2 linked regions of the Caenorhabditis elegans genome follow. The protein of the gene in region 2 purifies or fractionates together with the protein of the main gene of each other region. This does not show direct contact. Each region holds a gene or a part of one and is shown on either strand. Other genes may lie near its edges. The genes, in order: Y62H9A.3 and unc-85.

Evidence for each region.
Region 1: the proteins of unc-85 (region 2) and Y62H9A.3 fractionate together in Caenorhabditis elegans (co-fractionation; one large-scale study listed by BioGRID). This does not show direct contact.

What each region holds. Positions count from the first base shown.
Region 1 is NC_003284.9:11,878,555-11,882,068, reverse strand, and holds Y62H9A.3 (putative secreted effector protein), read left to right. Parts: upstream 1-2,097; 5' UTR 2,098-2,124; coding exon 2,125-2,184; intron 2,185-2,231; coding exon 2,232-2,481; intron 2,482-2,526; coding exon 2,527-2,581; intron 2,582-2,626; coding exon 2,627-2,906; 3' UTR 2,907-2,959; downstream 2,960-3,514. Other genes in the region: Y62H9A.4 (DUF4362 domain-containing protein), read right to left, coding at 897-990, 1,044-1,235, 1,575-1,927.
Region 2 is NC_003280.10:4,700,170-4,704,052, reverse strand, and holds unc-85 (putative histone chaperone asf-1), read right to left. Parts: upstream 1,985-3,883; coding exon 1,873-1,984; intron 1,824-1,872; coding exon 1,357-1,823; intron 1,309-1,356; coding exon 1,158-1,308; intron 1,089-1,157; coding exon 991-1,088; 3' UTR 834-990; downstream 1-833. Other genes in the region: F10G7.9 (C3H1-type domain-containing protein), read left to right, coding at 22-153, 202-296, 427-569; scc-1 (Sister chromatid cohesion protein 1), read right to left, coding at 3,256-3,690, 3,736-3,883. UniProt on the Caenorhabditis elegans protein: Histone chaperone that facilitates histone deposition and histone exchange and removal during nucleosome assembly and disassembly.

The sequences.
Region 1 (3,514 bases), on a different chromosome or scaffold from region 2:
AAGTTAAGCAAAATAAACAATTCAACATATTTGTCTTTTCCAGCTTTTTTTGTATTGTTAGGAAAATGTGTTCGAGTAGTGGGCGGCAAAGAAAATTTTAAATGACCGAAACTGAAAATTCCCAGAAAATTGACAAATTGACGATAAAACCGCAACTGCCATACATTTTAGGCAGTTTGTTGATTCATAATTTTTTATTATAAGTTTCTAAATTTCTCATTTAAACTAAAAACTTAAGCGCGTCCTACAAATTTTTCTATAAACTAGGGCTCCCATGCGGTCGCCGCGACGGCCTCACGGCGTCACCCACGCCGCATTTATAGTGAGGCGCGGACCTCCGAACGTGTCGACCGCTTGCAAACAACCACCTCTTCGCACTATGTTGCACACACACCAAGCTACTCATTTCACGCAATTTGTTGGCTTTTTGATATTTGCCAACAAATCTTTTATATGTAGTACAACGGTACCTCAATTATGAGAGGAGTCCAGTCAACAGAAATATCATAACTTGGTTCCATGGAAAAACTGCGGAAAACTAACATTTGCAAATTTGATGAGTTCACTTCCTCGTGAAAAAAACAATAGGACTTTTAGAGTGCATTCAGTAAATTGTTCTAAAGGAGCGGATGAAAAAAAAAACTGTCTTACATTCAATAAAGTACAAGTAAAACCCTTTTTAATCTAACGAATGCGAAAAGAATTATCGCACTACTTTTCTTCCATATTTGGATGATCATAGAATGAATTTCATTGTCTCATTGAAATTTAGTTAAAGTATTTTCTTTACATAATTATCCAAATTTGAACTTTTTTTTTGTTTCACATTCTGTAACAAATTTGACTTTAAACTTTATCAACCAAAAACTCGTAAAACATTTAAATAAACAGAATCATTAAAATCCTGTCAATGGTCTTGGTCCGGGAAGTTCAACGCATGTGACTTTTCGGATTGCTACTTCTCTGTCGTTGAATGATTTTCCAACAAAACTGAAATTTAGACTTTGAATATAAAAACAACAAGTTGACTTAATACGGCTCACTTTTTGTCGTCGCATTTCGCAACGTAGTCGAAATTATATCCCGATGCAAGGAGAATAGTGTCTTGAATGACGAATTCTGTCTCAAACTTGAAAGATGCGTCTGTTCCTTCCTTTTTTGCTACAAGGGCATATGGTTTTCCACTGTTTGGACAGGCGATAATGTTGTAGGTCTTCCCCTTACGCTCTACTGTTCTGTAAAAAAACAACTTTTTGAACCATTGGAAAATAATTTATAGTCAAAATGAAACAGAACAAAATTAGCCCGTGATATAATTAATTATACAAACTTTGCGAAAACTTTAGTTTTGCTCTCACATCACGAAACAATTGAACGAAAAAGTAAATGCAATATGTATATTTTTTCTATAACGAGTATTGAGAACGAAATATGTGAATGTTTCTATTTTGTCGGGTTTTATGTTTAAAACGTCTTATTTTCTCTAAAACTTTTTCCAACGTTGATCAGTTAGTTTCATTTTGCAAAAATATTCGAAAAAAAGCTAACTTATGGTATTTTTTGTGATAACTCACTTGATGTCAGCACGAGCGGTTCTGTGCTTATGAACAGAAAAGTGTTTGATTTCCTTGCATTGTTCATACTCATTTTGTTCATATACATTGTTTGGTGGTCTATACTCGTTTCCATTGGTACCGTAGTTCGTTGCAGGTGGTTGTGGCGCATATACACCTGGATATTCTGGGTAACGCTCATCTGAGTTCGATCTTGATTTTAATTCATTCTCAGAAGAATCCGATGAGTCAGAAGTAGAGTATCGATTGTTTGAATGATGTCCAGGATAGTGAGAAATTGTACCATAATCATTGTATTGGTTCGCAGATACGACGACCGCACATGCGATCACAGATAAAAAGAGAGCATACATAGTGAACAATTTCGCTGAATTGTGCGTCACCTCTACTTGATTTTATAGACGATTTTGTTGAATCGTCGACAAAGTTTAATCTGGAATATGGATCACATCACATCATACGTTTTCTAAACATATGATTCATGCGAAATCTAGACCAAATATAAAACGGTCCTCAACAGAGGAGAGCCATACATCGGTGCTCTGCCAAGATGAAATATTTTGTTTCGCTTGTATTACTTGCTGCTGTGGCTTCTGCAGAATACCAGATTGTGACATACTATTGCAATTTAAAGTATATTTATATTAATGATTACAGAACGAGAAGTCCTACTCAGGTGAAGTTGAAGTTGAAGACTACCCAAGACCAACAAAGAAACCAACGTACTCGGTGCCGGATCTAGGACCACTTCCACCAGCATCATACCCAGTTCCAAATTTCCCTAATAGTTGGCCGCTTCCGCCAGCTTCACGACTAGTTCCAATTCCACAAGAATATCCAGCTCCGTTCCCCCCAGGACCATATCCTGACTCAGAAAATGGGGGATCGTATCCACCACGCAACTATGGTGAGTTCTCAACTGTATTCTCATTTTAAAAGTTTAAACAATCAGAAGTCAAAAAATTGAAAGATCTTCGTGGTGAAAAAATTGTTGAAGCCCGTGTTAGGTGAGCAAATCCAAGTTGCAAGAAGAATTATACATTCAAATTTAGATACTACACATATGATAACACCCATTACGCCGTCATTTCATGCCCCAGAAATCCAACTCCAGGAGCATACACATGGATTTTGGTGGACTCGAAGAAAGAAATTCTACCATTTAATGTTCCTGGAACAGTAGCGTTGACAGGAGGTATCAACGTTGACTACTTAGCCAAATATGGAACTAAAGGCAAATGGGAAGGAAAAGATTTGACCAATGATAAGAAACACAGGTTCCGTCGAGTTGGATGCCTTCACGGAAATACTATGTCGTACATTCAACATTAAACTTTATCAGTTTAAACAATACATTATGAAGAAAAATAAATGTTAATTTGAGCTTTCAAAGAAAACCAATTAGTTTTGAACACAAACGGAAAAGTTAATGAAACGCTAATCGTTTCTCAAATACCCGGCGTTTAATTTTTGAAACTACTTAAAAGTACATTCCTAAGCCAAACAATAAAAGCGCATCTGTTTATACTTATAATGGAGTTGCTTTTCAAAAACAGACAGACTCTTTTCACTAAGATTCTTTTAACTTCAAGGCGCTTATTGATATTATGATCAACTAAAGGAATCAAATAATTTCATCAATTCCGTTCCGTCAGAAAACAAATAAGAAAGTTTCAGGAAATTCACCCAGATTTTTCAATAATATACGGTATTCTCCATGTGTCAATTTTATATTACATTTACAGAAAAATGGAACAATCTCCTAAAAACAATCATTTTTCACATTAAATATAGGGAGCCGGGAGGACAGAGCTATAAATTCTCAAGATGGAAATATTCATTTTCTATATACTATTTTCCACCGTTTCCCCACTCAATTTTCAATTTCTGTTGATATAATCTCCCAGTAAAAAAAACGAAAATTTTCATTTTTGAATTTC
Region 2 (3,883 bases):
TAATGAATTAATGTTTTATAGAAATAGTCCAGATGTTACGTCAGTGGTCTCATCATCTATACCTGATCGTCCCGAACAATGTCGTACATTGTTACTCAAAATGTGCAAGTTCGAACTTAATGGAAGATGTGAGCGGCCACGGGATTGTAAACAGTAAGTTATTCAAGTTTTAAATTGTTTATTAAACAAAAGTTTTTTCAGTCTTCATCTTCACGACGTTACTGATGCTGAACAACAAGCACAACTTCTCGAAGGCCTATTCCGCGAAGCTTTTAAATACAACGAATCCGACATAGGTTCTTCTACACGCCGATTATTCTCTGTTATACTTCCCCCCGTGTCTTTCATTGATTCCCACTCGTCCCATTGGAGGATTATCTAACTTTTCAGGTCACCCGTAGCTACCGTAATCCTCGCCCGTTTCAGAGCCGGCTGTCAAACAAACATTGCACTTTCTACCGGAATTCCGAGAATTTGAAAAGCTAATGGATCAATTCTTCAATGTGGTCATTCGTCAGACACCAGAATACAAAAGCAAGTTGTTCGCTTTTTTCGCCAATCGGCGATGAACCGGACGAGAAAATGGATAGGATGTAGTAAAAATCGAGGAAAATCAAAAGTAGAACTCGCTAGACATTTTTAAAAATTCCAGTTATTTTCTTTTTAAATCAATTTCTTTACTGAAACGGTGTGATCTCTACAAATCAAGCTGACGTTCAAACTGTCATATCAATTTGCCTGTTTATTTTACTCCGGTGTATTATATATATAGTACAATCACAATAAACCAGTTTTATATAATTCAGTTGTTTGTTTTAAGAAAAACATTGAATGAATGACACTGTACAGTTTTATTCGGAAAACATTCAAAGTGAAAATTCTTGAAAAGAAAAAAAATGAAAGAACGAATTATGTGAATTTTTGACAGTCACTGAAAATCGGGTGGGAATAAAAATAAGTTCAAAATATATAAATTAACTGGAAGTGAAATCACTGGACCATTTCGTTGTTTGTCTTGTCTGAGAGTGGCTCCGCCATCGATTCCGGAACTTTCGTGTCAGTGTTGATCTGAACGCCAGGCTCGTCATCTATAATTACAGGGTGAGAAGCACACATCACGAAACAAGAAGGGGTTAGAGAAACCAAGTAACACTTACCAGCCATATCAACATCCTCATTTGCTCCATCGTCCTCCATTTTCTCATCTGCGCCTTTCTGTTCGGCCCCGTCAAGTGCATTGGCCAATCGTTCATTGAAGCTCTCGTTCAAATCCACTTCTTCAGCGTTGGCCTCCATCTCGTCATCATCCTGAATAAAATTATTTAATTTTTGAATAAGTAAAATTCATTTTCTCACCTCTTCCTCCTCATCGTCATCTTCCTGGCCATCATCATTCAGAGGCATGAGGTCATCTTCCGCGAATACTCTGTTAGCCTCATCCTCGACAGGCTCTGCGACCGGATCCTCATCAGTCCAGCGAATCGGGAATGTGGTGATGCGAAGATCTTCAGTTTCGACTTTGCGGGAAAGCTTTTCGATGAGTGGCTGCGATGGGGGATTCTCTTTGAGCTCTTCCTCGGTGTACTCATTTGCCACGAACCATCCCATATTGATAAACTCCTGATCGTTGTACTTGCAGCGCAGGAGAAGTACGCTGACACCGACGATATCATCGACTGGGATCTTCGAGATATCCGGATGATCCGCGTCGAACACAAACTTGTGGCGTCCTTCTGGAATTGGACCAACGAGCGCTGAATCGAGAACTTGGTCAAAGTCTCGGGATGTTCCGGATCCGACGTAGACCAATTCCCATTCGAGATCTGAAAATTATCATTATTATCGATGAGTTTATATTTTCCTCTTTCTTACCATGCGGCAAGTGCTCAAAAACTTCAAATGTGATCTCCAACTTGAATTTGTCGACAAACATCGCAGGATTGTCGAGAATTTGTACTTGAACAATGTTGACACGGGAAGCCATCTGAAAGAAAAATATAATTAATTATTTAGGAGCCCACTTTTTCAAAATAAAAGACAATTCACAACAGTATTGGCATGAAACAAAATAAAACTGAAAAAAAAATCATTTTTAACAAAAAGTGTATCAATTTTAGGTAAATGAAATTGCAAAAATGAATCCGCAAATGATGAGAAAAAATGAGAAATCAAAAATTCCCGCAATTATGTAAGTTAAAATGGTGGCGATTGGCGCGTACCGGTGGAGCGCGCTTGCATTTTGTTCTCTGCGTTTCGAGGGGGTACGTTTTCGTAAGGGGATTTTTTCGTAAGGAACGCTTTCAGTAGGGCAATGTGCGGCGCGCCTTTTCGCAAGCCCGCCACACAGTCCTTCGCAATGCGCCGCACGGCTTTTTGCAATGCGCCGCACGCTTCTTCGTATTTATTTATTTATTTTTCCAACAGGAAATTTCGAACGGAATTCAATTAAAAACGGATTTTTAATGGAAATTAATTAGTTTTATTCGAGCTAAATACGGATATTTTCAGAATTTTCGATGACAAAAACGGGTTTCAATCGATTTCGAATCGATTGCGAAGGACTGTGCGGCGGGCTTGCGAAAAGGCGCGCCGCACATTGCCCTACTGAAAGCGTTCCTTACGAAAAAATCCCCTTACGAAAACGTACCCCCTCTGCGTTTCTCTTTCTGCGCGTACCCTCGTGAATGTTTCACGGTGGGCCTGAAATGCAAAAATTATTCGGAATTGCCTCAAAATTTAGTAAAATCCGTACATTTAGTCTCGAAGACATTTTCTAATGCAGCGGAGTGTCCTGTCTTGAAAGTTATGGAAAAATGTAATTTCCAGATTTTAACAGCTTTTTTAATAACGTTTACGCGTTTGTAGATGAAATTCACCAAGTTTCATAATTATGTAGTCATTTTTTCATACGAAGAAAGCGAATCTCAAATCACTTGAAACTAGATGGAATGAATGAAATTGTACACGGAAACGTTGAAGTTGAGTAGAGCCGAGTTAATCTTTTTTTTTTCGCTATTCTTCTCTCGACTAATCGGAACCTGAGCAATTAACAAGAACATTAAAACCGTGATGCTTTTTATTTACAGAAAAAGATAGTACATTCGTACTTTTCGAACAAATAATACCGCAAAAATAATATCCGTATATGAATAATCGTGGAATAAAAATAATACTTGCTTTTAAGAAAATCGAGATACCATATACAATGAAGAGGTTAAACTATGCATGGCGAGTAATAATAATAAGCTAAAACGATTAAACTGGTCTCATTGGGGTTCTCATAGTGGAATTTTCCATTGTATTTCCAAGTCCCATCGGTTTCGGAGAGCTCAGTGGACATGCTTCTTTGAAATTGGCTCCTGGACGAATTACGATCTCTCCGTATGGCTCTGATTGATCAACACTTATTGCTTGAGACTTGGCCAGGGTAAGCAACGAATAAAATTGCTCTGCAGCTTGCTTGCGATTCTTGGCAGTTGCTGTGACAGATGAGAAGTCCGCTTGTCCCGAAGTCTCAATATCCGCGGAGACTTTCTTTAGAATGTGCTTGGCGCGTTTCGCCCATTTGCCATCGTCTTCCTTGTAGGTCGAAGTATTTCCGAATCCATAGGCTTCAAGCTGGCCACGTCTGCTGGAATTTGAAGAACCGAACGGATCAGACCAATCCTCTGCGTCCTCGTTCTCTTTGTTCTGTAAAATAATATTTTAAGAGTTGAAATTCGCACCAAAAATTACCTCTCCAGCGAATCCACTCTGGATAGGGATCGGAGCACACTCTTGATGTTCTACTTCTTGTGGAAAATCGAAGTTGTCACCAAAGTCCATTTCCTGAGCTGGTTGTCTGTCATCATCATCATCCATGCGCACATCATTAAAGAATTCA